Canis lupus familiaris: one gene and its partners. The protein of the gene in region 2 purifies or fractionates together with the protein of the main gene of each other region. This does not show direct contact. Links are inferred from orthologs where the notes say so. Each region holds a gene or a part of one and is shown on either strand. Other genes may lie near its edges. The genes, in order: DVL3, AXIN1 and MAP3K1.

Evidence for each region.
Region 1: the proteins of AXIN1 (region 2) and DVL3 purify together in Homo sapiens (affinity purification with western blotting; 3 studies listed by BioGRID and IntAct, with this or other methods). This does not show direct contact. The link is inferred for Canis lupus familiaris from reciprocal best matches to the Homo sapiens genes AXIN1 and DVL3.
Region 3: the proteins of AXIN1 (region 2) and MAP3K1 purify together in Homo sapiens (affinity purification with western blotting; 5 studies listed by BioGRID and IntAct, with this or other methods). This does not show direct contact. The link is inferred for Canis lupus familiaris from reciprocal best matches to the Homo sapiens genes AXIN1 and MAP3K1.

What each region holds. Positions count from the first base shown.
Region 1 is NC_049255.1:17,228,589-17,239,105, reverse strand, and holds part of DVL3 (segment polarity protein dishevelled homolog DVL-3), read right to left. Parts: intron 10,395-10,517; exon of another isoform or gene 8,304-10,394; coding exon 8,234-8,303; exon of another isoform or gene 8,186-8,233; intron 7,708-8,185; coding exon 7,586-7,707; intron 7,463-7,585; coding exon 7,353-7,462; intron 7,159-7,352; coding exon 7,023-7,158; intron 6,838-7,022; coding exon 6,744-6,837; intron 6,605-6,743; exon of another isoform or gene 6,523-6,604; coding exon 6,453-6,522; exon of another isoform or gene 6,368-6,452; intron 5,789-6,367; coding exon 5,649-5,788; intron 5,465-5,648; coding exon 5,388-5,464; intron 5,273-5,387; coding exon 5,205-5,272; intron 5,051-5,204; coding exon 4,901-5,050; intron 4,489-4,900; exon of another isoform or gene 4,134-4,488; coding exon 4,002-4,133; exon of another isoform or gene 3,817-4,001; coding exon 3,649-3,816; exon of another isoform or gene 658-3,648; coding exon 442-657; exon of another isoform or gene 349-441; coding exon 1-348. UniProt on the Homo sapiens protein: Involved in the signal transduction pathway mediated by multiple Wnt genes.
Region 2 is NC_049227.1:40,625,518-40,636,034, forward strand, and holds the start of AXIN1 (axin-1), read left to right. Parts: upstream 1-81; 5' UTR 82-230; intron 231-2,554; exon of another isoform or gene 2,555-2,611; intron 2,612-3,014; exon of another isoform or gene 3,015-3,360; intron 3,361-6,028; 5' UTR 6,029-6,111; coding exon 6,112-6,989; intron 6,990-10,517. UniProt on the Homo sapiens protein: Component of the beta-catenin destruction complex required for regulating CTNNB1 levels through phosphorylation and ubiquitination, and modulating Wnt-signaling.
Region 3 is NC_049223.1:43,169,112-43,179,218, forward strand, and holds the end of MAP3K1 (mitogen-activated protein kinase kinase kinase 1), read left to right. Parts: coding exon 1-457; intron 458-820; coding exon 821-973; intron 974-1,202; exon of another isoform or gene 1,203-1,384; intron 1,385-2,472; coding exon 2,473-2,635; intron 2,636-4,084; coding exon 4,085-4,216; intron 4,217-5,077; coding exon 5,078-5,220; intron 5,221-5,948; coding exon 5,949-6,080; intron 6,081-6,484; exon of another isoform or gene 6,485-6,592; intron 6,593-6,837; exon of another isoform or gene 6,838-6,922; intron 6,923-7,296; coding exon 7,297-7,446; 3' UTR 7,447-9,911; downstream 9,912-10,107. UniProt on the Homo sapiens protein: Component of a protein kinase signal transduction cascade. Activates the ERK and JNK kinase pathways by phosphorylation of MAP2K1 and MAP2K4. May phosphorylate the MAPK8/JNK1 kinase.

The DNA of each region.
Region 1 (10,517 bases), on a different chromosome or scaffold from region 2:
CCAGGTCGCGGCCCGGTGGGGCTCCTGGGGGCCCCATGGCCGCGGGCGGTGGGGGCATCATCAGCATTGGGGGACCGTAGAGAGGGGGTACGCCAGGGGGGCCGTAGCTCGGGTGCGTGTGGTGGCTGCGCAGGCTGCTGGCCATTGAGTGGTGGCTGCGGTGGCTATGCTCGCTGGCGGCAGGACCCGAGCGCTCGCTGGGTGCCCTTTCCCGAGGCCCCCGCAGGCTGCTGCGGGTTGTGTGGTCCGACTCGCTGCCGCTGCCGCCCGACTTCGAGTCCCCCGCCTTCGGGTCCTTCTCCTTCCGCCGGTCACTGCCGCTACGGTTGGAGCCACTGCTCCGGCTGCCTATAGGCGACAGGCAGGCCCCCAGCGGGGCATGTTCAGAGCTTGCAGAAGCAGTTTGGGGCTGTGCACCACCCTCCACCCCCTCCACCTTACCTTCACTGTGCTGACTGCTGGCGCTGCCCCCACCATAGCTGTACCCCAGTTCTGGGAAGCCTGGGTGTGGGTTGTAGGGGTGTGGGGGTGGCGGGTACTGGTAAGGGAAGGCCATGGGCCACGGCGCAGCCCCAGGGTGTGGCAAAGGGGCCAGAGTGTCCTGGTCAGAGGCTCCGCTGGAACCGTCGTGATCATGGAGGGACAAGTTGGCCATGTCTGTGGAGGGGAGGGGAGGCCCAGATGAGTTGGGTCTGTGCCCTGCCCCCACACCCCTAGGTCAGGAGAGAGAGGTCCCCAGTCTAGGTCGGTACATTTACTATGACACCTAACAGCAGTGGAAGTTTATTCCCTAAATGAGAGGAGGCAGAGGTCAGAGATCTCTCACTTCTTCAGACCCACCCTGTGCCACCCACCGGAGATGGTGGAGAGGGAGACTGCAGACACAACACCAAGAAACACCTTCCTCAGGAAGGCCCTGAGTCCCCACCCCACTTCAGATGCTCCAGGCAGAATCCTGACACCCCACTCCCAGTCCCAGGGAGGCCCCCTTCCAAGTATTTGACAGTTTCCTCTCCTTCCTCAGTAAACTAGATGGGCAATGTTCTCTTCTGTTCACTTAAGGGAATATGAGAAACTGAAATAGCAGACAGGTATTGCAAACCTGCAAGTCATTGGGCATAATACAAAGCGCTTCAACTCATGCAAATGTTACCACCATCCTATGAAGAGGGAATTAGTCACATTTTTTCCAGGTGAGGAAAGTGAAGTCCAGAGAGGTTAAATGACCCACCTGAGGTCAATCCAAATTGTAGCCAGAGCAGAAGCTAGGAGTTGCTTACTTTCGTCTTACCTTTCCAGGTGAGTCATTAGTAAGAAGTAGGGAGCAGTTTGGGGAAATTTAGGTGAAATTTTGCCCTCACCCTTCACCTAGGGCTAAAAAAAAAAAATACCCATTATAGGCCAAAACAAACAGGCCTTTCAGAGCCTCCCCATACAAAAGAAAGCCCTTGGCTCAGATCGATTTTCTGGTGCTGCTGTGGAAGGTGGAAAGGGATCCGAAAGAGAACAACTTAGGTGCCTCCTCTGTGTCCTCCACTCCATTCCCAGCCAGGCCTCATTCTTGACAGCACTCATCTCAGGGTATTAACATTACTTGTTTCATGTCTCTTGCTCCCACAGTAAACTGTGCAGTCCTTAAAGGCAAGGCTGCCCCGACCAATATTGGAATTACCTAAAAGGGGATACAAGGGGCCACCAAAGAGATTACCTGGCTGGGACACCCCTTGCTCACACCTCATCATACCAGGTCCCAGAGCTCTGAGAGAGCTAGAGTTGCCCTCCAGGCCAGGTGCTGGATACAGATGGAGCCCTTCGTTCCAAGTCCTTAAATAAGCCAGCCCAACCTTCCAGAGGAGAAGAGGTCAGGAGAGGTGGTCTGTGGAATCTACCGGCCAAGCCATCAACATGTTAAGGCCTGCAGCTAGCAGGGTGTAGTGGTGGTGAGAAGCAGGGGCCTGCCCTGGCTCATGCCCCAAGAGCTGGTGACTATTTCAGCCTCCAGGCTATTGTCCTGAAGGGAGTGACTGTGGGTTCCTGGGGATTCCAGATCTCCAGCTCTTTCCTTTGAGCCTGCCACATTCCCAGCTGAGGAGACCCTGGCCAGTGAGAAGCAAAAGACCTGTCAGCATATCTCTAACCTGGGCTTCTGGGGGCCTTGGCCATGGGTAGAAGACCCAAGAGGCTCCAGGGATAGAACAACATCTCTTAAGCAAAAATCACAGCTGTCTTGAGAAGCTATAGGGATCCTCGGAGGTTCAGGGCCAGGGCTGACTTATTCTAATGATGATAATAATAACCACACAGGATAGAGTAAGAAGCCATTAATTATAAGATGCACCCCAATTTCAGAGATACTGAAATGTGAAAGAAATGTTCATCTTAGAATCAATTAAGTTTATGAATAATGGAGAACATTTTAGAGCACTTACTGTGGGCCGAACATGGTGCTCAAAGCATTATACAAGGTCTTAACCTCTAAACAGCTCTGAGAGTTTCTAGTATTACCTCCAACTTACAGATCAAGAAATTAAGGGAATGAGAGGCTGTCACTTACTCATGTTCACAGTGAGAGCAAAGCTAGGATTTGAACTCAGACCTGTCCAACTTCAAAACCCTATGCACCTATCACCCTCCATCATGAACTTATGCCCTGCAGCAATAGCCTTTCTAGTCTTAGATCCTAATCTGAAGCATTTTAAAAGTTAGTTTTTGGACTTTAGCCAGTAAGCACCACTGGACTAACCAAAGACTCCCTGAGGTAGAGGCGGCTGCTGGGAGTGGGCCTCTGCTCCCAGCCCTGAGCAATGTTGTTCTGTTTTGAGGACTCCCCTTCCTTCCCAAGGGCTATCTACATGCTCAGGAAAAGAGGGGGTTCCCTGCACACCTTTACTCCTTAAAAGCCCTCATTAGCTTTGCACTCTCTCGAGATCAAGCCCAAACTGCTCGATGCAGCTTGCAGAGTCCCTCTATAAGATGGCCCTGACAGTTTCTCCAGTTTCATCCCAAGGCCTGGCCCACCCTCAAGGGTCTGAGAAGGCTGGGGACCTGGGGCCTCAGGCCAGCCCCAGGTCTGGCCTTGGTGGAACCTGCTTGGTGCTGGGAGGGTGATCAGGGGCCAACCATAGGACCTTTGTTTGACTCTGCTAGGACAATGCTTCGGCAACACCACACACCTACACAGCTCCAGATGGTAGTAAGTAAAAGGGCTCTAGAGCCAGAAAGACCTGGACCCAAGGCCTAACTCCTCTGCATCTGGCTGTGAGAATGGGTGGACTATTGAACTTCTCGAAGTCTCAGTTTCCTCAGCTGAAATAGGGATAGTGATCCATCTCCCTGAAGGTGAGGAGGCGGGGGTTGTGAGTACTGAGTGAGAGCAACATGACGCTTAGAAATAACCTGCATGGTGCCAAAAACAGAGGAGGCACTTTGAAAATGCCCACCCCAAGATGGGGACACAGAGCAGGTGAAAAGGCCCAACTGGGCTCTGCTTCTACTAGAGAAGGAAGCCTGGGTCAGCGCTCAAGCTGGGCCCCCAGCTTGGCTGCCCACTCCTGCTTCCCATGGGTGTCTGGGGGTCTGCTGCCACATCCCTGGGCACCTCCCCACTCCCAGCCAGGAGACGAGCAAGGAGGTCAGGGAGGCACATACTGCCACAGAGGTCACCGAAGATGTAGTAGCACTGCTCAGAGAAGGTGATCTTGTTGACAGTGTGGCGGATGAAGCCGGCTTTTAGCAGGTTGCTGGCATACTTGCGGGCCTCTCGCCGGTCAGTGAAGCCTTCCACGTTGTGGTATAGCCAGTCCACCACATCCGAGCCTAGGGGCAAGGCCGCCACTTGAATGGGAGGCCCACCTGACTTGGGCTCATCTGACCTCACAGAAGCCACAAGGCTGGGGCTGGTTCCAGCTCAAAGAAGTGGACCAAGGGAGATCTTCAGCCCCCAGCCTGCCCTTCCCAACACTCCCCACCCTGCCCTTCATCCCACCATGGGGCCCTCTCACCGATGAAAGCATTGGGGATGGTAATCTTGAGCCACATGCGGTCACGGACCTCCAGCCCAGATTCAGGGGAGGCCATGGCTTTTACAATGGCAGCCATGTCACTGTGGATGGACAGGTGGAAGTCATCTAGGCCTGGGGGTGGGAGGCAGAATGGTGAGGCAGAAAGGAGCTACAGAGTTAGGTAGAGAAGAGTCTGCATTGCAGTTCTACCACCCAAAAATCATGGACCAATGTTGAACGCACATTACTGACTTCTAGGACACTTAGTTTCCTCTTTTGTAAAAATAGGGACTTTAATATTTATTTTGCAAGGATTTTTTTTTTTTTTTAAGTAGGCTCTATGCCCAATGTGGAGCCTGACACAGGGCTTGAATTCACAACCCTGAGATCAAGACCTGAGCTGAGGTCAAGAGTCCAATGCTTAACCAACTGAGCCACCTAGGCACCCCATATTTTGCAAGGATATTTGAAGAGAGAACTAAATAATGTAAGTGAAGGTGCTTAGCATACTGTATAATATGAGTGCTATAGTAAAAATGGCAGTTTTTTTACTGAGTGCTTACTTTATGCCACATACTAGAATTGAAGCTTCATTTATATCCTCTCATTAAACCTCCATCCGTCGCCTCAGAACCTGGTAGAGTGCATATCATTGGTCCCATTTTACTAGAGGAAACTGAGGCTTGCTGGGTGTTCAGTACAGGTTCAGAGGCAAACACTGTTTAGTGAGGGTCGGGTGTCCACTGAGGGAAGAAGCTGCAGTGTGAGGTAGCTGGAATGAATTCAGCCTCCTCTCCAGCCCGCTATGACTTTTAAGCAAGAGTCTCCATGTGGGCTTTAATCAGTCCCTCCCACCGGACCGCATCTGCTGGGCCTAGGGGGCAGGGTTGGGCACTCACGCTCTGTGTCAGGGATGGAGCTGGTGATGGAAGAGCTGGTGGAGGTGATGGTGCTCAGGGAGGGGCTCATGCCATAGGCAGGGAAGGTGCCGGTCATGGCTGCAGTGTGGGAGACCCAGGCTGCAGGGTCAATGGGCCGGATGGGCTCACCTGCAGGGAGGATGAGAGGTCAGGGGCTGTCCACCCTGCCCACTGCCAGGCCCAATAGGGTAGGTATGAGGGTTCAGGCAACACAGAAGGAAGGAGAGACAGGGTTCACATGTGCCAAGCACCAGCTTTAGGGCCAAGTCCCCCAACCACTTACTCCTGGGCAGTGTGAAGCAACCACGTGGACTTGGGTCCCAGCACTTGGCTACAGTCAGGGTGATGGGCCTGAAAGCAAGGGTGTCCCTAGTAAGGGCAGGGTACGCGGAATCTAGACCAATCCCCTGGCATGATGGCCAGAAATTCCTGCCCTCTCCTTCCCAATGTCCCATGCCATCCATACCCCGGTTTGTGCACAATCTCCCGCAGCACCCGGACTGCGTCGTCATTACTCATGTTCTCAAAGTTGATCTCATTTACCTGGGTGAGAGGACCAGAAGTGGGATAAGCAGCTGGGTTGGGGAGGTGAGTAGGGAGGCTGACCTTAGTGGATCAAGAGGTCTTCCCCCTACCAAGAAGTGGGCTCTAAATGAGCAGGGTGCAGGGGACAGGGATTATCTCCCTACTCCCCATCCACACCACCATTCCAGGTGGGCAACGGTACCTGCAACAGCATATCTCCTGGCTCAATGCGTCCATCTGCAGCCACAGCCCCACCCTTCATGATAGAGCCGATATAGATGCCTCCGTCACCACGCTCGTTGCTTTGGCCCACGATAGAGATGCCCAGAAAGTTGTACTTTTCTACAGAGAGTGATACAACCTTAAGAGGGAAACAAAGTTCCTACCCAGATTCTGAACCCCTTATTAGAAAAGGGTGGAAAGGGATTGGGATGAACATTCACTGAACCTGAATCAGGCCCTGTGTTCAGCATGGTCAAGCATACTTCCATTTAGTCCTTGCTAGCTCTGCTGCAGGGATTCTTAGTCCCATTTTACAAAGCAGGCAACCGAGGTTCGGAGAACTTCGATAACTTTTCTAAGCCATTAAGTGGCAGAGCCAGGATTCAAACTCAGACTTAAATTCCAAGGTTGGGGCTCTTTTCACTACATCGAGCTATCTCCTAAAGACAGTACCTAAGGCAGAAATCAGAGAACAACAAGCAATGCTGAAAAACGGAAAGGGGATAGGAATCAGAAATTACTTCCTCCAGGAAGCCTTCCCTGCTGTCATCCTCTGCTTCCACACCTCTCTGTGCTTGTCTCTGCCATAGCCCTGATCTTGGGATATGGAAATGACCAGTTTATTTACTAGTTTATGTTCATGAGAGAGCGCTCCTCAGGGGCAGGAAACATTAACCTTTTTTTTTTTTTTTTTTTTAGGAAACATTATCTTGTGTTTCGCTGAGCTCCTGCCTGGTGTCTGGCATACAGCAGGAGCTCAAGAGTATTATTTCACCAGACTCACCCATGTTGAGAGTGACTGTGATGATGTTGAGTGACATGGTAGAGTCCGTGATGCTGCTGAAGGATGAGGACTGGAATAGACAGAGGCCCCATCTGTCGCAGTGACCGCTGGGGTGGCAAGAACTCACTGCTCCCAACTAGCTCCTCCTCGAGGTGAGCCCTCAGCGCTCCCTCCCCTCTAAGGCTCAAACGCTGGCCCGATAGGAGGGGATCTAAGGAAGCACAACACCCTGGGTCTGCCTGGACAGGGCTCAGTGTACCCCCACCCATCCTTGGCATCTCAGGCCCGTACCCGCTCAATCCGTGAAACCTTCTGCTTCCTCCGCCGCCGCTTATGTCTTCTCATCAGGCGTGAGGCGCTGCTCTGTTCTGTGGAGCTGCTGAACCTGGAGGGCCCACAGTCGTTCCCCACCAGGCTGGCCCAGCCCTGCCCCATAAGAGGCACTGCGGGGCCCAAGTCCCCCATGCAAAACCCACTGCCCTCCCAGGGTACCACCATCCTGGGAGGTGAGGGGGTCAGGACTGTTCAGGGGTCACCTGCCCCAAAGTACCAATGAACCCAAAGCCCCACCTGCTGGTGGAGTCATCCTCATCCGAATCAAAGAAGCTGGTGGTCTCTAACTCGCTGCTCATAAGGGTGGATGAGCTATCATAACCCCCTGGTTCTCGCCGCCGTTCCCCCTTTGCAGTTCCATTTAGCCGGGTTGCTGTGGGAATAGAGGCAGCTGGGTTCGCAGTGCTGACACAGGAGGGAAGGGAGGACAGAGGGCTGGGCTAAGGGCTGTGCTGCGGGCAGGCACATCCAGAGCTCAGGAAAGGGCAGAGAAGTGGGTAGCTGAATGGAAGCAGTGAGGAAGGTGTAGGGGTGGGGAGGGGAGACATCTGTTTAGGGAAGACGCACTGTGCTCTGGGCCGTCCCTCCTGCGTGGCCGCTCACGCTGGGCAGATACCAAGGAGTCCGTCTCTGTGTCATTGTCCAGGTTCTCCTGGCTGCCTCCACCAGCATGAGGGCTACAGGGAAGAGAAGACTTGGTGGGAGAGGGGGCAGGCTGGGGGCTCCCTCCTCCCCCAGCCCTTGGCTGAGCAGATGCAGCCCTCTCCCATGGGCCCGCTCCACTCTCAGGTCACACTCACTGGAATGATGGGGGCCGGGAGTCCCCAATGCCTCCTGTGCGCTCCATGGGCGGTGGCAGGTCTGATGGGTTGTCAGCACAGAAGGGGGCTGCCTCTGGGTGTGAGCCCTCAGCAGACACCAACTGATGGGGATAGAATGGGTGGGTAGTGTGGTACAGGGGCACCAGGGAAAAAGCAGATAGTTGGCTTCTGGCCGGGCATGCAGCCTTGGGGAGAATGAAGCAGGGGGCATGGAGGAGAAGAGATAGGACTGTGAAAGGTCAGCTGTGATGAGGAACGGACTCACTGCTGGTAGACGGTGAGGATGGGGGGCATGAGCTATTGTAGCGGGATGGGGACAGAGAATAAGGGTCAGTGGTCCAAGGGAGAAGTTGGCTGGAAGCTCAGGCAAAGTGCCTCAAAGGGCAAAGGAGACATTTGTGTCTCCAATGAGTGTTTCTCACCCCTTCCTTCCCCACATTCCACCCCCACCCCTCACCTTTCACTAAGGCTACAGAATCCGGGGTGAGAAACAGTTCAGGTAGAAAACTCAGGGGAAATTCAGATACTGAAGGATAAACCCACCAGCTACAATCTTAGTAATGCTTTTCCTCTGTCTAGCCCACCACAGGAACGCAAGAAGAGAGAGGGCTAAGGAGGGCTCCTTACCCAGGACACCACCCGGCCATTGAAGCAGGGCAGCTTGGCATTGTCGTCAGAAATCTCCTCCTTCACCACTCTGCAGGGAAAGGGTGGGGGTGTCAGAATGAGCTTTCTGGGGTAGAAATGGAAGTGTCATCACAATCCTAACTCAGGGGCTCCTTTCTCCACCCTAAACTGGGAATCATGCCACTAACCTAAGCCTATTCAAGTGGGAGCAGAAGTGGGGAACACTTAGGGACAGCTCTTTAGCACCACCAGGAAGACAACAGCCCTGTCCAGGCCATGTGTCATCCTAGGGTGTCCTCTCAGTCATCAGGTGATTGCAAATTACACCTGACAAAGTGTTATCTGCCCTGAGAGTGGCTACTCCCTAGAACCTGAGAGTGCTTAGCCCAGCCCAACATAGCTCTTCTGGGCTGGACTTATTCTTTCCCTCTGACCCTAAACAAGGAAAAAGCACACCCTTATTTCTGTCTTTCCCTTCTTGGGAATCTTGACATTCTTTTGGGAGGTGTGGATGATGAGTTTAGGAAAGAGAAAGGGGAAAGGTATTTACTGAACATCCTCCACTGCCATTATGATAATAGTACAAACTGCTCTCATTTACTGAGCATGTATCATGGGCCAAGCACTAAGCTACTTGCATCACTTCTTTTTATACTCACAGCATTGCTAAGATAGATACAGTAACTAAGGCTTAGTAGGTTCAGAGATTCACTTACAGTCACACCACTAATAAGAACTGGAATTTGAATCCTGGTCAGTGTGATTCTTCAGCCTTTATTCTTACCTATTATACCATCTTATCTTCCTGTAGTAAGAATGTGTAATATTCACATCACCTTCATTGTATGGACAAGATCCTCATTTTATGAATAAAGAAATGGAGAAACATTCAGTAGACATGGGAGAAACTTGTCCCAGGTCACAAAGCTGGAAGATGTCAGAGATGGAATTCAACGCCAAGCTTTCCTGACTCCAAAACCCATGGTCTTTTCATAGTATTTCACATTTTTCCCCATACAGTGACAGGTGATGTGGATCTGTGTGTGTGGCGCGGGTGTGGGGAGACAGTGATGTGGGATATGGAGGGGGTGGATGTGTACACAGGCATGTAGTTTGGCTAAAGGGATGCATCAAGGCAAGAAGTCAGACCATGATTACAGTTTGGGGCCAGGGAAAGGAACGGAAAAGTTTGATGGCTGCAGACTGTGTCAAATAACCCAGGAGTACAGAGAGGGAAAGATGTGATCGGGGACAAGACAAGATCGGGGACACATGCCTGGTTGTGAGCAGAGAGAAGATAGCAAGGAAGGAAGCTGGGAAGCCTAGTCCTGTTCTTGGAGCAGCTTCTGCCCAGAGCCGGGAACGTGCTTGGCTCTTTGTGATGCTCACATTCTTGGACTCACCGCCAAGTCTGAAGACGGAGCCTGCCCTTCTCCCTCCCACCCAGCTCTGGTTCCTCCACCATTTCCAACCCCACAAAGACCCTGGGAAAGCAGCTCTAATTATCCTGGTCAAGCCATAATGGCAGAAAGCCTAGGGATAGAATGTGCTAAAAAGAAGGGACACAGAGGTAGCTCAGAGTCACCAGCCAGTCTTGGCTACAGGGTACCCGAAGCTTGCACCCCATTATGGGAACTGGGGCTCAAAAGAAAATGGGGTATGTGGGTCACAGGGCAGATGATCTGCTCTGGAGAGGGTCTCCCTGTGGTGGGAAACTGCTGCTGAGTCCCCCCCACCCCCTTCCCCAGCAGGCCCCATCACACAGCTCCATGCTACAGATGTTTCCTCTCTTTCTAGGGGTCACCAACAGGTCACCAAGGCTCTGCTGACTCATACGGATCAGCTGATCTTCAGCAACAGCCTTGGGGGACCTCAGACAGTCCTCCCCTCCCACCATGGAGATGAATGCCTCAGGGGCTCAGCGTTGCACAGCATTAACACACACACACTCTCTCTCTCTCTCTCTCTCTCTCCCTCACACACACACATACACACACACACACACACACACACAGGCCCCAAGCAGAGTTGAACAAATCTGGGTTTTAATTCTGCCACTTATTAGCCCTCCTATCTTAGAGAAGTTTCTTAACTTTTCAAGCCTTTGTCTTGTCCTGGTAACTGGGATTTGTGAATGCCTGGCATGATCTAGGCTTACAATAAAAGCTTGTTATTAACCGTGTCAATATTTAGCAAGTTCCACACTCTCTTTCCAACTAGGTGTAAGCTCCTAAGGGCAGGGACCAAACAAATCTGCGTATCACTCATCATCATTCATTCAATT
Region 2 (10,517 bases):
TCTGTGCCCACAGTTCTAATCTGCGGTAGCTGGGCTGCTGCATTTCCTCCAGGCCTTCTGACTCCCTTCCTGTCCCTGCAGGGTGGGAGCCCCAAGGAGCCAGGGGCCCGAGGGTCCTGTTCTGGTCCTGGGGCCTGGGGACACCTGCCGCCATGGGCCAGGAGGAGGATGGACGTGGACACAACCCTGGGAGCCTGGCCCGGCCACAGCAGCAGCTCTGCAGAACCAAGGCAAGCACTGGGGACCCGTGTCTGGGAGCGGGGAGGCAACATGAGGGCCAGTGTCTGGGAGCTCTTGCTGTTTGTCCAGCCCACCCAGGACTCCCATACCCCACAGAGACCCCGCTGTGCCCAGAAGGCCACCCACTGTGTCTCGTGGTCTCTAAGACTCCTAGGCTGAACGGAGTGGGGGAGGGGCTGCACTGGGGAGCCTGGGACTGTCCCAGCTGGATGCTGGTGAGAGTGACCCCCACTGTGATCACCCTAGTGGGGCCAGTGTGGGCTTGGTCGCATAGCCCCTCATCTATAGCCCCGACTGCCCCTGGGTGGTCTGGGCCTTCGGTAGGCTGGGGATGCGTCCCTGGTTGTCCTCATCCCTCACTGCCTCCCTTTCCTATGACCCCCTGGGAGAGATGCTGTGCTGAGACTTGAGGCAGGCTGGTGTGTCCCTACACCTGCACACCCCAGACAGGCACCACCCGTGGACATCTGGGTGGGAGGCTGGCTGTGGCCCGTGGAGCCCCAAGCCAGGACTTGTGCACTGGTATGGAGCCTGAAAGATGAGGACGCGCCGGGAGGGCAAACAGGGTCCAGGAGAAGATGTGGTGGCCTGTTGGACGGGGCACGGCCCTGCCCTGGAGACTGCGGGGAGCATCTCTTCAGGTGCAGGCCTCGTGGCTCTGTGGGGCACAGGCCCTAGGTGGTCACGGGGGTGCCAGAAGCAATTCCTGAGGGGCAGTGGTAACCTTTCAGTGCCACATCCTTCCCTTAGGGAAGGGCCCGGGGCGGGTAGACAAGGAGCTGGCCGGCTGTGCTTGCAGGTCGGGCAACAGCTGCTATGGCGACGGTGAAGGGCAGAGGTGGTGGTGCAGGAAGCCCTGCTCCCCAGGCTGCCGCGCCAGTATGACCTAGGGACAGCGTAGGAAGGAAAGCCAGGCGCTCGGCGGCCGGGCAGGGCGGCTCCGCAGCACCCGCACGGGCTCCCGCCACACCGCCGCTCGCCGCCCAGGCCCACCCAGACGCCCGCACCTGGGACCTGGCCCCGCCCACCAGGCGGCCCCGCCCCCTCCCCGCGCCCGCCGCTGCCCCGGGCCCCGCCTCCGCGCCGTCCGTCCCTGCAAGTGCTTGGGCCCGGGGCTCTAGGCCCCGCCCCCGCCCCGGGCTACGTCCCCGTCCTTCTCCCGCCCCCACGTTCCGGCTCCGCCCTACGCTCTCCGCTGCGCCCTGTGTTCGCGGTCCCTCCCCGACGCTCTGGGCCCCGCCTCCTGCTCCCGGATCCCCTCCTCAAGGCTGCCCCGCCCGGTGCTCCGGCCCCGCCCAAGTCCCTGCCCCAAGCCTTCGCCCCGCCCCCCGCTCCGGCTGGTGCGTCCCGTGCCAGTCCCGCCCCACGTATCCGAAACGCTCGCGTCCTGGCCCCGCCCCGAGCCTTTGGCCCCGCCCTACGCTCCGGGCGACCTCACTTCCGGTCTGGATCACGCTTCGGGGCCCCGCCCCCCGCTCCGGGCCCCGCCCCCCGCTCTCGGCCACGCCCCCGCGCTCCGCCCCACATATCGGCCCCGCCCCCCACGCTCGGGGGCCCCGCCCCACGCTCTTGGCCCCACCCCCCACTCTCGGCCTCGCCTCACGCTCTCGGCCTCGCCCCCACTCTCCGGGTCCCGCCCCACATCCTCGGCCCCGCCCCCCGCTCCGGGCCCCGCCCCACGCTCTCGGCCTCTCCCACACGCTCCGGTTCCCGCCCCACGTTCTCGGCCCCGCCCCCACACCCCGGGCCCCGCCCCACGTTCTCGGCCTAGCCCCTACTCCCCAGGCCCCGCCCCACGTCCTCGGCCCCGCCCCCACGCTCCGGGGGCCCCCCCCACGTTCTCGGCCACGCTCCGGGCCCGCCCCCGAGCTCCGGGCTCCGCCCTACGTTCTCGGCCCCCCCCACGTTCTCGGCCCCGCTCCGGGCCCCGCCCCCGCGCTCCGGGCCCCGCCCCACGTCCTCGGCCTCGCCCCCACGCTCCGGGGCCCCGCCCCGCGCTCCGGCCCCGCCCCCGCACTTCCGGGCGGCGCCGGCGGGGGCGCTCCGGCCTGGGCTTCGGCGCTCTGGGCTCGGGCTCCCCGCTCGGGGAAGCGATCGCGGCAGCCGCCGCCGCCGCCGCAGGACCGGCCGGAGTCGGTCCGGAGCCGCGTCTCCCGGTGCAGGCGGGTGAGAGCGGGCGGCCGGCCTCGGCGGCGCCCCCGCGGCCTGCCCCGCGCCCGCCTCCGGGCCGCCGCGCCGCCGCTGCGATGGGGGCCGCCCGGGGCCGCGCCCCCGCCCCGTCCCGCCCGCCGCGCCGCCGCTGAGCGCATGGGCCGCGCCGCGCCGCTCCCGGAGCCGGGCCGGGGCGCCGCCGCCGCCGCCGCCGCCGCGGGTGAGTCGTGCGGGCCGGGCGCGGGCCTGTGGGCCGCCCATTGTAGGCCGCGTAGGCCGGGCGGGCCGGGACCCGGAAGAGGGGCCGGTGGGTGCGGGCTCGGGGCGTGCGGGGCGGCGGCGGGGACGCGCTGCGAGGGCCGGGGCCGGGGCGGGAGCGGTGCGCGGGGGGCGGTGCGCGGGGTCCCGGGGGGTGGGCGTGAGCGGGGCCGCCCGCGGGCCCGGCCGGGATGCGCGTGTGCGCGGGCGCAGGTCCTGGGGCGGCCCCGTGACTCCGGCCCCGCGCGGGGCTCCGAGGCCCGAACCCCGAACCCCGGGCACCGGCTCCGCTCCCCCGAAGCCCCTAGCGCTTCCCCGCAGCTTGGAGCTCGGTGCCCGCGGAGCAGAGCCGCCCGGCCAGGCGGGGAAACTTTCTGCTTAGCGCTGAGGACAGAGGGGGAGCCCCAGTTCCCGGAGGGCCTCCCCGCGCAGGTCTGGGGTGGTTTATGAGGAGCCCCTGCCGCGCATCCCTGCCCCTCCGTTTTGCCCCCGTGCTCACCCTGCTTCTGCACGGAAGCTCTCCGGACACTTGCTTCGAGGCCCTTCTTTGGAGAACACACATGGTCTGAACCTGGACTCGGGTGCTAGCCCTGAGTTTCAGTTTTGAGAACCTGACATTCAGGCAGGAGAATGGACAGGCGCGCAGAGAACGGCGTTGCTGTGGGATTTTCAGGAGGTGTGGACGCTTCTTGAGTTTCTAGAGTCAGAAAAGTAAGTGGAGTCCTTTGGGCTACATTGGTCCTTGAAAATTTAGGAGGTGGAGGAGCAGATCACCTTGTGGAACAGCGGCCCTAAGCTTTTCAGGGTTTAGGTACCGGACAGGACAGCGTCGCAGTCATGCTCTATTGCTTCCAGGCTCCTATAAATCAAAAGTTATGAAGTTAGGTTTTAGTGGGATGAACATGTGTCTATACGTGTAGCATGGAGCTGGCTGCTGTGGCTCCACGGGGGTATGGCTCAGCAGTGACTACAGGAGATTTTAAATGCCCTATCAGCCTTGTAGAGCATTCGTCGGAGCCGTGGAGGACTTTTATGGAATCCTTTTATTGATGGTGGTTCCAGGCTGTTGGCCAGATTCAAGGCTTGTGGGCATTTGCCTCTGACCTGAATTAACGTAACTGCTTTATGTGTGGTATGCACGTGCGTACACCAAAACGCTGGGTGTGCTTCTGCTGTGGGAACCTAGGGACGGCGGGAATCAGAGCGTGTTTCCATAATGTCAGTAACTTGGAGAGGTGTCTTTGTGCTTCTGGGGCCACCGAGGATCGTCTGTCAGTTGACAGCCGAAAACAGATGTGAGTTATAAGAGCTATTTCTCGCGGGCAATGAAAAATAGTTTAAAATGATCAGGGCGGTGTGGGGGGGAGCCTTGTTCACACGTGAATTAAAATGTTAGCTTTTAAAGATAGCCAGCTTTGTGAATAAAGGGGTAGATGTTGAGTTTTGTTGCTGTTTTTGTCCTGCTGTAGTTCAGCATCTATGGAGGGCTAACGTTTGGCATCTATGACAATTGTCGTATGTGTTCGTGCCAGTGAATAAGTGTGCTAGGTGTTGTGGGTCCTGCAGAAAACGTTTAATCAGGCTGCTACCAGTAACTTACACGGGAGATAGTTGCGTCTCCAGAGCAGGCGACGGTGACTTGTAATTAAGCTCCCGTTGAATTGCAGTGACTCGGTTCTTTCTCAGGACTGGCGAACTGGAATGTGTCTGAGGGTAGGGCTCAGGGCGCTGGGCGCGGGCCCTCCTTCCTAAGAAGGCGTCCTGAACAGGACGACATCAGGTGTCCATGAGCCAGTGTGGAGCTGAGACACCACAGGTGCCCATTCACGTTGACAGGGCTCAAAGAGAGGGACTTTGCCGTCGTCGGAGTCGTCCGTGACAGCGGGGTGCCCGGCCCGTGGGCCTTGACCTTAAGAAGCAGGCTGTTCCTGCTGAGATTACATACTGCCCGGTAGTTTTCACGAGAAGTCATTAGCTGTAGAAATGTCACCTGGGGCACGTTATTGTGACCCGTTCTCTGTCTCTGGGGGCTTTTCGCTTCTAGCCATCAGCATCTGCTGGCACACGCAGTGCGTGCAGTGTGAGGATGCAGCTGTGGGGGCGGATCGCCTGGTGGCCAGGGGTGGGGAGCGGTGGGCGGGGAGGGCTGCCCTTGGTGTTGGTACTAGATTTAAGGTGTTTATTTTTCTTCCTCTGGCTTATTCAGTGCTCTGGGTGCTTGGAGCTGACACGCTTCTCTCCAGCCCATTTCTAGCCAGACCACCTTGAGGAGTGCGGGCCGCCAGGTGGGGCGGTACAGCCCAGCTCGTGGGCAAGCTCCTGTGGGGCATGTCAGGGAGGACCGGAGACCGTGAAAGAGTCCCGACCCGGGAGAGCCTTCCTTCACACCTGAGGGGGGCTTGTCGCAGCAGCCACGCAACCTGTAGTCCCCAACCCCCGAGAGGATGTGTAGTTGGGATTTGAGCTTATGGAGGTGAATCACGCGAGCTGTGTGCTCGCTTAGTTAAAAGCTGTGATTGCATTTGGACTTCATTTTCTTTTTCCGGGTCTCCTCCGTTCTTCAGAATACTAAATTGCTATTTGCTATCAGGAGGGCGCTTTCCTTATAGGCGAGGTCAGAGGCAGCTTTGTGGTGGAAGCATGTTTTAATATTGTCCACACTGTGATGTGGGATGGCCACCATGTGTGTGGGGAGTCCTTGGGTGACCCACCACTGTTCGTACAGGTGTGTGTTGAGAGCTCAAGGAACACGTCCTTGCGTGTTTGCACACGTTAGGAAGCATATGAGGCGTGCAGCGACGGGGTAGGCAGAAAGCACAGTGGCCGTGGGCCCACAGGTGTGGGGAGCAGATGACTATCTGCCGTGTGCTGTGCGGCGAGCCTGCCTTTCCGTACCTGAGTATCACGGTGATCCCGCATCGCAGGTAGGGCGGTCATCCTCATCTTACGTGTGAGGAACCGGCTCTCGTCCCAGTTTTTGCAGCCCGGAACACTAGAAAGCACATCTCTTTTCTCCGGGCCTGTTGGCTTCCCAGAGCTTGCAGGGAAGGGCTTGTTGTGGCTGAGATGGGAGGTCCCCAGGCTGCTTGTGTCCGTGATGTTCTGGCAGAAAGACACCTGAGGGGAGTGGCACTCTGTGTCCCTGTTCTAGGCGTTCATTTTTGAGATCCAGAGACGTACCTGTGGTTGTAAAAGTTCTCACAAATTGTTTTAATATAGCATAAACCTTGTGACGAAAGACTGAAAATTTAAACTGAATTTCTGGCTTTGAGTTCGAGTGGGAGGGCATCATTACGAGTCTTGTCTTGAGAAAACCTCTGTGGTCATGTTTCCATGGACCCACCTTTCCTAATCCTTGTCCTCTTAATGGTTTCAACAGGACAGATTGATTCACTTTGGAGCTATAAGTACTGATGTATTAGGGTGCAGCGCTCATTGTTCATTGACGCACAGAGTCCCAAAATGAATATCCAAGAGCAGGGTTTCCCTTTGGACCTCGGAGCAAGTTTCACCGAAGATGCCCCACGCCCCCCAGTGCCTGGTGAGGAGGGTGAACTGGTGTCCACAGACCCCAGGCCCGTCAGCCACAGCTTCTGCTCCGGGAAAGGTGCCGGGGTCAAAGGTGAGACTTCAGCAGCCACTCCGAGGCGCTCCGACCTGGACCTGGGGTACGAGCCTGAGGGCAGCGCCTCCCCCACCCCGCCATACTTGAAGTGGGCCGAGTCGCTGCACTCCCTGCTGGACGATCAGGATGGGATAAACCTGTTTAGGACTTTCCTGAAGCAGGAGGACTGTGCTGACCTGCTGGACTTCTGGTTTGCCTGCAGCGGCTTCAGGAAGCTGGAGCCCTGTGACTCGAACGAGGAGAAGAGGCTGAAGCTGGCCAAGGCCATCTACCGCAAGTACATCCTCGATAACAACGGCATCGTGTCCCGCCAGACCAAGCCGGCCACCAAGAGCTTCATAAAGGACTGCATCGTCAAGCAGCTCATCGATCCGGCCATGTTTGACCAGGCACAGACGGAGATCCAGTCCACCATGGAGGAGAACACCTACCCCTCTTTCCTCAAGTCTGATATTTATTTGGAATACACGAGGACAGGCTCGGAGAGCCCGAAGCTCTGTAGCGACCAGAGCTCTGGGTCAGGGACGGGCAAGGGCATACCCGGCTACCTGCCCACTCTGAACGAAGATGAGGAATGGAAGTGTGACCAAGAGCAGGACGAAGACAGTGGCAGAGACCCTGCTCCCCCCGGCAGGCTCACACAGAAGCTGCTTCTGGAGACGGCCGCCCCGCGGGCCTCCTCAAGTAGACGGTACAGCGAAGGCAGAGAATTCAGGTGAGTCGGATGCAAGGCGGCCGTGTTTGTGCTCACGTCCGAGCCTTGGACAGCTGGCAGGCACAGGTGGCAGCCAGGAGTGGTCTTGTGTCCCAGGCCCCACGTGGGCGTGCTCCTGCTGCTGGGGGTGAGCGTGGCGGTGGTTCTTCCTCTTGCTACTTTGACGCTTGCAGCACAAGGTTTTAATACGTGTAAGTTGAGGGCCCTTTGGCAAGAACAGTCCCAAGTGTACGGCCTTGTATGTCACGAAGAGCCTCGGATGTCCCAGAGATCGTGGCGTTCAGACTTGGCCTGTGGCGTGCAGGGGGACTTACCCCATACGTGTAATCCTCTTGGCTTAATACAGAGAGGAGTGGATGTAGAAAGCGTCAGTGCGGCCAGAATTCTGGATGGTTGTCTTTCGTGATCGTTTCCCCAGATTCCTCCTGGAGGTTGTGCAGCGCTGGTGGGGAGGCTGCCGCAGCAGGTAGCCACAGCGCTCTGGGGCCTTCTCTGGGGATCGTGCTGGGGGACCCTGTCCCCTCTGCTCACAAATTAAGAGCTGTGGTGCGGCCCAGTCCCGGTGGCATTTGATTTTGTGCTTAGCGCCTGCGCATGTGGCGCCTTGCGACGTGGGAGGTGCCCGTGGTGCTGTCGAGAGCTGTTTGCTGTTGGGAAACCTGGCTCCTCGTTCTTTCCTCGGCTGTCCCTTCTGTGCTTACCGGAGACTTCGCTGATGCGGGTTGGAGCCCCTCGCCGGTGCTAGCCGCCGTTGGCAGGGTGCTCCCATTGCCCACTCCTCTCCCTGCACTGGGGACACCTGTGTGTGAAACTTTGGGAGCCGGGAACCCGCGTGACCCCTGCTGATTCAGTCAGGAGTCCGAATCCTCTCCCCTCCCGCGCTGCTGTTAAAACCTGCTGGTTTCTTCAGGCTCACGCTGGTACAGAAACTGGCTGAATGTTCATGAGGTTTAAGGGTCACGTAAGTGGTGCAGTTCAACATACGCCATTTAAAGTAATGTTTGTGTGCCTTTTGCTCATTGTCTTAAGCTTAACGTTATTGATATAGCAAGCTTTTTAGGACAAGACTTGCCGTAAATTTATTCTAAGTAAGGCCAGTAACTACCATGGTTCTTAAAACCCAACCTAAAATGATTTAATTAGAATAGTTTTAAGATGGAATCAAATTCGAGGCCTGGGCTTCAGGGGAAAATTATTTATTTATTTATTTTTATTTTATTTTTATTTTTATTTTTTTGAAAAATTTTTAGTTAAATTCTGATTTATTTCTTTGTTTCTTTTTTCTTTTTGAATGTGTGTGTATCTCTCGATTTTATTTTATTTATTTTATTTTTTTGATTTTTATTTTTAAATAATCTTACACCCAGCGTGAGGCTCAAACATACAACCCCAAGGTCAGGAGTCGCATGCACCCCTGACTGGGCCGGCCAGGTGCCCCAAGGCTTGGGAATCCTTTAAATCAGAAATCAGAATTGGCTAGCTCAGTTGGTGGGGCGTACAACTTCTGACCTTGGGGTTGTGAATTTGACCCCCCAGTTTGGATATACAGATTATTTAAAAAAAAAAAAAAAAAAAAAAAAAAAAAGGCAAAGTTTCCTGAGTCTTATTCTGTATGTTTTTCAGTTCTCGTTTTTTTTTTTTTTTTTTTTTTTTTTTTTTTTTATTTATTTATTCACGAGAGACACAGAGACACAGGTAGAGGGAGAAGCAGGCTCCATGCAGGGAGCCTGACGTGGGACTCTATCCTGGGTCTCCAGGGTCATGCCCCGGGCCAAAGGCAGGCGCTAAACTGCTGAGCCACCAGGGCTGCTCTTCGTTCTTGATCTCTCTTTTTTTTTTTTTTAAATATTTATTTATTCATGAGAAACACATGAGAGAGAGAGAGGCAGAGACATAGGCAGAGGGAGAAGCAGGCTCCATGCGGGAAGCTTGACGTAGGACTCGATCCCGGGACCCCAGGATCGCCCCCTGGGCCAAAGGCAGGCGCTAAACCATTGAGCCACCCAGGGATCCCCTTGGTTCTTGATCTTAAGCAGCAGCTTTGCTTTTAAATTACTAGAGTACGTTGGCTTTACTTGTTTAAGTGCGTTGAGCTGTAAGGACTGTGGCACATTTTAGTTTTGACTTGCCTGTCGTGGAGCTGCTGGTGCGGAGGAAGCCAGGAGTTGGGAGTCCCAGCCACAGTTGAACCCCATTCTGCTCGAGGTTGGCTCTGATACTTTAGTGAGTGGAAGATCTCTGATGTCACGGTCATCGTTTACTAGCACCGACAGGTATGAGGTCCAGCACATTCTGCTTTGTCCTGCTGGGGTGTGCAGTTGGGTGCACTAGGCTGGGAATCACAGGAAATCCAGCCTACCCTGCCTTAAACAGTGAAGGGGATTAGGTAACTTAAATCAACGAAAAGGTTAGAGGCAGGGCCAGTTTCAGATGTGGTTTGATCTGGACTCCAGCCAGTTTTCTTTTAAAGACTTTATTTTTTAAGAGCAGTTTCAGGTTATCAGCAAAAATGTAGAGAGGTTTCCCGTCCCCCCCAACAGCCTCCCCCACATCAGTACCCCTCACAGAGCAGTGTGTCTGTTGCAGCTGATAACCCTACATCAATACCACTGCCACCCAAAGCCTGGAGTCTCCACCGGGGTGCGTGCCTGGTGCCGGGCGCGCTGCGGCCTGGATGGTCCGTCGATGACACGTATCCGCCACCATTGTGTCGGCTGAGTAGGGTCACCGTCCTGCACACCCTGTGCTTAGCCTGCTCATTCCCCCCACCCCACCCCAGGCAACTGCATTTGTCTCCCCCACCGTCGCTTTTGCCTTTTCCAGAATGTTCTGTGGTTGGAATCACACAGCGTGTGCCTTTTCTCAGTAGCTTCCTTCACATGGTAACAGGAGGTCCCTCCATGTCTCCTCGCGGCTTCTGGGTGGTTCCTCGTGAGCGCAGGTGGCGCTCCGTGGTGCGGACGGACTCCGTTCCTTCGTGTGCTCGCCTGCTGAAGGCCATCTCGTTGCCCCAAGTTCTGGGAATCATTAATAAAGCTGCAGTAAACCTGTGGTGCGGTTTTTGGTGTGGACAGAAGTTTTCACCTCCTTTGGGTAAACGCCGTGGAGCACGATTGCCGGGTCCTAAGGTGAGCGCGCGTAGATCGGTAAGGAGCTGCCGCTTCTCTGTCCCTGCCCTCCGTGGCCGCTGTGCTCGCAGCTTGAGGGAGGCTGGAGCAGCACCCACGGGCTCGGGCTCCCTGGCTTGGTAGCACACGCTGCCCCCAGCATTCACGGGAGGTCCTGCACTTGGCTCTGCAGGCCCAGAGGGCGGTGTGTGTGCCTCCGTGGCTGTTCCAGCATAATCTTGGTGCAGGGGCCCGGGACTGTGCTGCTGGGCTTAACACCAAGTAGGGGAAACCTGGAGGGACGTAAAGTGCCCACTGCCCCAGTGGTGGACGTGGTCCCGCAAAGGAATATTGGGGTGGAGAGGACAGGGAAGGGGTGGCGGTGCTGGACTGGAAATCTCCTGACTGGGGGAGGCACTTC
Region 3 (10,107 bases), on a different chromosome or scaffold from region 2:
AAGTAAACAGGGAGATGCCTCAAAGAATAGCATGACACTTGATCTGAACAGTACTTCCAAATGTGATGACAGCTTTGGCAGCAGCAGCAATAGTAGTAATGCTCTTATACCCAGTGATGAGACAGTGTTCACCCCAGTAGAAGAGAAATGCAGGTTAGATGTCAACACAGAACTCAACTCCAGTATTGAGGACCTTCTTGAAGCATCCATGCCTTCAAGTGACACGACAGTAACTTTTAAGTCAGAAGTTGCTGTCCTCTCTCCTGAAAAGGATGAAAATGATGATACCTACAAAGATGATGTGAATCATAATCAGAAATGCAAAGAAAAGATGGAAGCTGAAGAAGAAGAAGCTTTAGCAATTGCCATGGCAATGTCAGCGTCTCAGGATGCCCTCCCCATAGTTCCTCAACTACAGGTTGAAAATGGAGAAGATATCATCATTATTCAACAGGATGTAAGTATAGTCTTGAAGAGATTAGAGAATTTCCTTGGAGCAAGCTAAAAGAAATCTAATTCAGAAATGATGCTTTTCACATGAGTTAATCATTAGAAGCAGTTTTTCACATGGAATTATACGACAGTTTTGTATCGTTGCTTTACCACAAACACTACTTGCCTATTTCAAAGGCATTTCTGATTGATTCTGTAATGGTGATCACTTCTGCTTTTGACACTGGTCACCAGCACTGTCCCTTCAGAACTTTATAGGTGGTTTGGGAAGCCAGACTGAACAAGAATAATACTTTGCCAGACTAATTTTACAAACTCTTCCTCTTTTAACTTAACAGTAAAAAGATTGCTTTCATTTAATATGTAGACACCGGAAACTCTACCAGGACATACCAAAGCAAAACAACCTTACAGAGAAGACACTGAATGGCTGAAAGGTCAGCAGATAGGCCTTGGAGCATTTTCTTCTTGTTACCAGGCTCAGGATGTGGGAACTGGAACTTTAATGGCTGTTAAACAGGTAAATATCTAGTGAGCACATAATGACTTAAATTATAAAAACAAAGCATGAGCAAATAAGAAAAAGGATGTGTCACTGTGTATATATGCTTTAGGTTCTTTAATTTTCAGAAACCCAGATTTCAAAATAAATACTGCCAGCACCAAAAGCATAATTAATTCCTTTTTTTTCTTTTAAGGTTTTATTTATTTATTCATGAGAGAGAGAGGGAGGCAGAGGGAGAGTCAGGCTCACTCTGCAGGGAGCCTGATGCGGGACTCAAGCCTAGGACCCTGGGATCATGACCTGAGCTGAAAGCAGATGCTCAACTGAGTCACCCAGGCACCCCTAAAAGCATCATGAATTCTAATGAAAAGCTGAAGCATGATTATTTTAACAAACTATAGAAATGATCCCTGAAAGTATAGTCTTGAAGCATGATTATTTTAAGATGCAACATCAGGGATCCCTGGGCGGCTCAGTGGTTTAGCACTTGCCTTCGGCCCAGGGCATGATCCTGGAGTCTCGGGATCGAGTCCCACATCGGGCTCCCTGCATGGGGCCTGCTTCTCCCTCTGCCTGTGTCTCTGCCTCTCTGTGTCTCTCATATGAATAAACAAATAAAATCTTAAAAAAAAAAAAAAAAGATGCAACATCAAGATGGACCTCCAGGTTCTTGGTCTTTTTTGTGCTTTTTATAAGCAAGAGTTATGGTTTCCTACTCCTTTTAGCAGTGTTACCAGTGCAATATCATCTTGGGATCTCTGTAGCTTACTTTTTATTAATGAGCATGTTTATGAAGATAAAGCTTTCATTTTTTTTTAAAGAATTTTTTTTTAATTTTTATTTATTTATGATAGTCACACAGAGAGAGAGAGAGAGAGGCAGAGACACAGGCAGAGGGAGAAGCAGGCTCCATGCACCGGGAGCCTGACATGGGACTCGATCCCGGGTCTCCAGGATCGCGCCCTGGGCCAAAGGCAGGCACTAAACTGCTGCGCCACCCAGGGATCCCAAAGCTTTCATTTTTTTTTTAAAGATTTTATTTATTCATGAGAGACACAGAGAGGCAGAGACATAGACAGAGGGAGAAGGAAGAAACAGGCTTCCTGCGGGAGCCCAGTGTGGGACCTGATCCCAGGACTCCGGGATCATGCACCCTGAGCCAAAGGCAGATGCTCAACCACTGAGCCACCCAGGCATCCTTAAAACTTTCATCTTTAAATTCTGTTGGTTCTTCCACTAGGCTTTTCTTATTCTATCTTTAGACAGTTTTGGAGGATTGGCTATGTCCCAGTTTTTTCCCTATTTCAGTGCTTCTTAAGCTAGACTCTTTTCTGTAGAATATTTTGACTTGGTTTTTAATAAATTATCTACATTGCATCCATGAACATAAATGCCAACTTCTGTTAATATATAAACTGATTTGAATTTGTCCATTTCAGATCAGATTGTTAGTAAAAATTGTAAATGGAAATTCATCAGAATTCAAAACTTTGTAAACATGGTTATTAAAACAGGTGACATATGTCAGAAATACATCTTCTGAACAAGAAGAAGTAGTGGAAGCATTAAGAGAAGAGATCAGAATGATGAGCCATTTGAATCATCCCAACATCATTAGGATGTTGGGAGCCACATGTGAGAAGAGCAATTATAATCTCTTCATTGAATGGATGGCAGGTATGTTCCTGTTTTAAATTGCCAGTGATAGTACATGAATTTAACTTTCTGGCTGACATTGAATTTAGGAGAAACAGTTTAATGAACACTTGTTTTTAATAAGTAGTTTGAATTTCTAAAAGCAAGTCACCCCTACCTAACATAATATGAACTGTAAATACTTTGTTCTGTCTTACATTGATTGATTGATTGATTGATTGATTGATAGCAAAGCAAAGTTTACAGAGTGATACTACAAAGCTCCCAAAGAGGGAGGGAACCTGAGAGGGTTGGGTTGCCCATTTGTCTTACATTTAAATAAAAATAAGATACTGTCTCTACCTTTCAGAGTTTTTCAGTGTTTCTTTTTAAATGATTGTATAGCACTGTTTTATAGGAATTTTTTTTAAAACCTGCTATGCATAAGACCCATATTTTTCCAGGCGGCCATCATCAAGGAGAGATGTTCTAACTTGACAGTATAAAAATGAAATCAAGATAGAACTTGGAAAACTTATTGTAGGTCAACTAGCACTGACAGAGAAAACTGAACCTTATTATCTGCTTGAACAAATACAGACTAGGTTTTATGTGGTATCATATCATACATACAGTAAGACAAGTAACTTAGGATGTATTGAACGAATAAATGCTTGGTTTAACTTCTTAGATTTTTTTTACATTTGAAGAGTAGATTTCTATTCACATATCCATTCTTTAGTATGTTCCCTGATGTTGGTTGTAGCTGCGTTGATAAGATTGACTATTATAAATAATTCATAGTGAGATTTATTGAGTTTGTGACCTGTCCCAGGTCAGAGCATTCCCAGGAGAATATGAAGCCTAACGCTGGATCTTCTGGCTCCTCCCGTTCGCTCTACCTTCTGCTAAATAACATGTTTAGCACTGTTTACTTAAGTCTTATTTTTTAAGATTTTATGTGTTTGAGGGAAACACAGAGATAGCGACCAAGATAGCACAAGCGGGGAAGAGAGGGAGAAGTAGGCTCCCCGCTAAGCAGGGAGTCCCACTCGGGACTCCATCCCAGGACCACGGGGTCATGACCTGAGCCGAAGGCAGATGCTCAACTGACTGAGCCACTCAGGTACCCTACCCTGCAGCTTAAGTCTTATTACGAAAAGTATTTTATACACCTTCGTCAAAAAGACAGGTGAATTGTACATTGCAAAAATAGTCTGGTGCAAAACTGTTAAGTTTAAAGCTTTCTGAAATCTTGACCTTTCAAAAAAACTAGTTTGTGAAAGTTTGATGAAAATGTTTGACAGGTTTTGAGATGACTGGAATGTGTTAGTTTTTAAGTCCATTTCGCTTCTGATGCAGAGTATAAACTTAACATTTCAAATGTGAATGTCCGCTCTTATGGTGCAAGCTTATGTAACCAAATTGTAATAAGCGGTTTTAATTTTGGCTTAAGTTTATGATAATTAGTATTATATGTTTGTCTTCTAGGGGGATCTGTGGCTCATTTGCTCAGTAAATACGGGGCCTTCAAGGAATCAGTAGTTATTAACTATACTGAACAGTTACTTCGTGGCCTTTCCTATCTCCATGAAAACCAGATCATTCATAGAGATGTCAAAGGTAGGAATTCTTTTAATTACTACCTACTAACAATAAATAGAAAACAAATGAGAGTTTTACAACTTGGACCTTTATTGGCAGTTTCTAACTTAAGATCAACTCTATCGGATTGTTTTTCCTGAGTAACTCAAAATACTAGAATTATTAGAAGTGAAAGGAACCTTGGAGTCATGAAATCTGCCTTCCTCAGAGAGACTGATTTTTCCAGTCTCACTGCTAATTGATGGCAAACCAGTATAAAAATCAGGTTTCTGATTTCTTGGTCTCATGATCTACTACTGCCTCCCCAACCGTTCCTGTTTCTAGTTTTATTTAGAATAATTGGGGTATCATGAGCTTCTTTTGAGAAAAATCCTTTAAGATCTTTTGCAGTTTATCTTATTAAGAATAACTGGTTTTCTGACATGTATGTGTGACTAGTATTCAAATAATTTTATAACATTAACTTTTATGAGTTATAATTAAGGAATTATACTATTTTGAATTGGTCTAGGTGAGTATGTTTCAATAGAACTGTCTTAAAATGGAAACCACTAAAATTTTAACTTTGAGGGAAGATTTTTGTTGGGAACATTAAAGGTTTTCAACACTTAGTAACATTTCATTAAATGTCTGCCTTGATCTCCTTTTGCCTTGTTACTTTGATCTTTCCCTCTGAAGATTTGGATTTTATTTTTACATTGTTGATACCTGTGTGCCTTTTTAGGAAGAATGAAGTGAATCAAGAGGGGAGATTTCTCTGAACCCTTCCATGCCCACTTCCTTTGTTACTGTCCTATTTCATTAGTAGTATTTTACTGAGTTTTGAATCTATTCTTTTGCTTTTTAACATACAAGGTCATTTGCTCTTTTTGTTGACAGGTGCCAATTTGCTAATTGACAGCACAGGTCAGAGACTGAGAATTGCAGATTTTGGAGCTGCAGCCAGGTTGGCATCAAAAGGAACTGGTGCAGGAGAGTTTCAGGGACAGTTATTGGGAACAATTGCATTTATGGCACCTGAGGTAAGAAGCAGCTGTGAATGTGATGGCAAAGTAGCTGGCGTTCCATGTGACAGAATTATAGCAACTTAGGTTGCAGTGTTGTTCCGTATGCGCTTACCAATGAGAAGATTATGGCTCTAAAATAAGGTTTTAATGATATCCTTGATTTCAGACTCTTAATCCCTGACGTTCCATCTTTGTCTTGACAAAATTTTAAAAGAGCAGGCTTTAGTAGACTTGCTTATAAGACCGTTGCCAACAGAGAATTTTGGGGTAGTTGTACTACTTGTTTTATAGTATGCCCAAAGTACACATAATTAAAAATCTTAACAATTGCTCTCTCTCTATTCCAAAGGGAGATGAGCACACAGAAGCTAGTCTTCACAGTAGTGAAGAAATTTCACGTAGTATTGCTGTTCTGAATCAGGCTTCTTCAGTTGTGTTCCACACTCTTCATGTTTATACGTAGTGATAATTGGTTGTCCTCTGGCCCCACAGTGACTTAAGTACACAGGGGCTGCTTGGATATTCTGTGATCTGACTCCTTTTCAGAATCTCACAATTCTCCAAAGTACTTTTGTGCCACGTAGGAGATTAAGCTTGTTAATGAAATAAATGAGACATCAAGGTAGTCCATGGAGTTGCTGTCTGTACCATTGTTTTGGTCTGAAATAAAAACCTAGAATACATAACTACAGAATATTTTTCTCTTTTGTTAATGAGTCATATTTCTAAATTAACTATTTTAGGTACTGAGAGGTCAGCAGTATGGTAGGAGCTGTGATGTATGGAGTGTTGGCTGTGCTATTATAGAAATGGCTTGTGCTAAACCACCTTGGAATGCAGAAAAACACTCCAATCATCTTGCTTTGATATTTAAGGTAACTATAATATAAAAATTACTTTTTCTGCTGTAATTGGCAGGAGGCAGATTTTCATGGGTTCCCCTTAACTCTCAATCTAATGTCAAAGCATGTATCCTCCTTGAAATAAATATGCATATATGTATCTCTTGGAATTCATACGGTGTGATGAATGTTGGTGGCATGTACAGTCAGTCCTCATTTTTCAAGTAGTTAGGCTCTATAAAGTCACTTCGAACAATGAGTTAGCGAATAATGAATCATTGTTCTTAGGTGAAATATGTACTAAGTATATCCAACTTTCAAATGTAAAAATGTAGAGCTCTTTATGGACACAATCCACAAATCTTTAAAATCTGATTTACTATTTTCTGTATTTAAAAAATTTACACGAGTCAGGTACCAAATCCCGTCTGTCCTACCTTTCTGACAACTCTCAAATCCATTCTGTCCATTTCCAGTGGAGAAGAGTATAGTAGTTTAGATTTTTAGCTTCTGATCCAGACATGTGCCAGTTAAAAGCTCAGGCTCTGGAATGATACAGACCTGATTTCAAACCGTGGTTCCAGCCTTTAAACTTTAAAAAGCCATGTGACTCGGGAAATGACTCCGTCTGCCCTCTGTTTTCTTGGTTATAAAACATGTATAATTACAGCATCTACTTCATGGGATTAATATGGGAATAAAATCTCTGGGCCTGAGTAACTCGAAATCCAGTGCACCAGTACCTCAGTACCTCCCAGCACCTCCCCCAGTCCTTCCCACACTTCCATACCTTCCCCATTCAGTGCAGTTGAGTTTCTGATGTACTAAGCGGACTGGCCAGGTGTGGTCTCAGTAGCTTTGAATAGCTCTCTGTGCTGAATGACAGAACATGTATGATGAAGCAAGGATGACAAACCATCATACTGCAGAGTATGAGGAGAGCATATAGTATGAAGTGAATACTTTACCTGTCTAATCATTTTGATGTACTTAGTCATGTTCATTTGAGACAAGGAAAACCATAGATCCATCTGCTCAGGAAGTGTTTGATTAAATTCTGAAATCCTAAAATTTGAAGATTCTTAGAGGAAGCCTCCCATCCAGTGGGTGAGTTTTTCCAGAGACTCCCTGTCAGAAGCAAGTCCACCAATTTCAGCTTCAGTTCTTCTATGTACAGGATGCACGTGTACTTCTAGATCAGAAGCTCCTATTGTGGAAAGTTTAAACACACTGGTGGTTTTTCTTACAGATTGCAAGTGCGACGACTGCTCCATCAATCCCCTCACATTTGTCTCCTGGTTTACGAGATGTGGCTCTTCGGTGTTTAGAACTTCAACCTCAGGACAGACCCCCGTCAAGAGAGCTACTGAAGCATCCGGTCTTCCGTACTACATGGTAGCCAATTATACAAATAAACTATAATGGAGACAGGATGCTCAACGAGAGCAAAACTTTTGTGGGGAACCACGCTGATAATCTGCTGGCCTTCATGCCACTGAACAGCTATGAACAAGACCAGTGGGGAACCCTTACCTAAGTATGTGATTGACAAATCATGATCTGTACCTAAGCTTAGTATGCAAAAGTCCACAATTTGTGCACAAACTGTAAACCGTGCCTTTCAAAGAACTGGCCATAGGTAAACAGGAAAGCAACGAAGTTTTGCATGACTAACAAGCATATTTTGGTGTTTTTGGAGCACTTTTTCAGCAATATTAGCAGCTGAGGGGCTCAGGATCTATTTTAATGTTTCAATTTTTCTTCCATTTCATATCGTGATGACAAGCAGGGGGTTCTACAATTCCGTTCAGTTTTTTTTTTTTGTCACTGGCTATAAATCAGTATCTGCCTCTTTTAGGTCAGAATATGCTATAAGTAGCAGTAAATATATTTTTAAAAGTTGATAACTTCTTTATGAACCACAATTGACCTTTATTTTTTAAATGCCTGGGCAGTTGTGGTTCACTGTGCATTTTACTGTTGGCCCATTCATTTCGTTTTTGGAAATTATGGTTCTATATTTTCATTTTACCTTCATTTTGTTTAATATTCAGGGAAAGGTGATCTTTTCAAACCAGAAAAAAAAAATAGAACTAGGTGTGAACTAGGGTTTATTAAATATCTTGCTATTGCAAGAGGTTTTTTTTTTTTTAATACAGATTTAATTTTGTTTGTTTTAAAAATTGGAATATAATAAAATACTACCTTCACTGAGTCAGTCACTGCTCTTTTCATGCAGGTTAAATATAAATTAAGTGAAAATCAACATTCTCTGTGATGCAGCTCACAACCAAGATCAAGATTACCTTGAAATTGTTTTTTTTAATGTATTGGTTTCTTTTGTAGGAAACTTCACACCACTGAAGTCTTACTTTGTATGTAACAATCCATTGTTCATCATCACCACTAATAATATTATTAAACTGCTATTTTCCTTCTACCATGCATCATCTCCTTACAGTAGGCCTGGCTGATACTTAAAGGAAAATTAACTAATGACTCAACTACCAATGAGTAATAGTGTTTTTACAAAATAAATTTGCTTGTAACTTTGAAAACATGATCAGAAAGAAAAGTGAAATTGAATTTCACTTACACACTAATTATTGGATTTTGCACAATTATCTAATGGTTTTCATCTGAGTTGAATTCAGATGCATGGAATCCTGAAGGAAAATGGCAGCTCTTTTATCTTTTCGTAAGTCTTTTAAATCAAGTACTGATTAAATATTTAATACAACTTTTTGAGATGTTAAGTTTTAACTCTTCAGAAGCCAGTTGAATTATTGCAGAGTGAAACAGAATTGGTTATTCTCAAAGACTCAGGATAAACTAAATAAGCTATATAGAGTACATTTTAAATGTACATCACAAATTGGAAGTAAAATAAGTTACAAGATAAGTTTACAGGGATATATTGCATATAATTTTTAAAAAGCAGTTTTTTTTTTTTATGTGAATGTGTCTCTTAGTGAAATTTTACATTCCTTTGTTTTGGAAGATTGGCAATATTTGAAGAGTTAAAAATAGTACCGAAATGTGAAGTTTGGTAGCTCTAAATGTGTTGTACTTGACTGTCTTTTTTTTATTTTCTTCTTTTTTGTGTGTGTGACTACTTAGAATTTTCACAACCCTAATAAGATTGTTTCCGAGTTTCTCATGTGCAAGCTTTAATGGATGCACTCTTGCCATTTTATGTACTGGAAGATCACTGGTCAGATTAATACTGTGTCTGACAGAAATGTAAACTGTATAAACTGAGGAACCTCAGCTAATCAGTATTACTTTGTAGATCACCATGCCCACCACATTTCAAACTCAAACTGCCTCTAGATGTCCAAATCCATTGTTTGAGTTTGTTTGCAGTTCCCTCAGCTTGCTGGTAATTGTGGTGTTTTGTGTTTTGTTTTGTTTTCAATGCAAATGTGATATAATCTTATTTTCTTTGGATCAAAGCTGGACTGAAAATTGTATTGTGTAATTATTTTTGTGTTCTTAATGTTATTTGGTACTCAAGTTGTAAATAATGTCTACTGCTGTTTATTCCAGGTTCTACTACCTCAGGTGTCCTATAGATTTTTCTTCTACCAAAGTTCACTTTCACAATGAAATTATATTTGCTGTGTGACTATGATTCCTAAGACTTCCAGGGCTTAAGGGCTAACTTCTATTAGCACCTTACTGTGTAAGCAAATGCTACAAAAAAAATCTCTGGGTTAAGAAAATTTGGCTTAAATGTATCCTTTGTTATTTTAAATATATCAAGATATTTTAATTAAAATTTTTACCCCATTGAACCAATTTTATAGTATTTGTACCTATTTTGGTGTTTGTCTTTATAGTAAATAAAAGTTTTTGAACAAAGGTTGGAATTTTGTTTATTTTGCCAGGTGCCCAGTTATGTCCTGTATAGCTAAAGGATCCAGACCAAGATCATGTGTTCCTCCTACTTGTCAAGTTTCTTCAGTTTCATTCAGTCCAGACTCATTCCTCAGTTTTTTCTTGACCTTCAGGACCTTAATATTTTTTAAGATTACAGGCTAATGTTTTATAGAGGTCC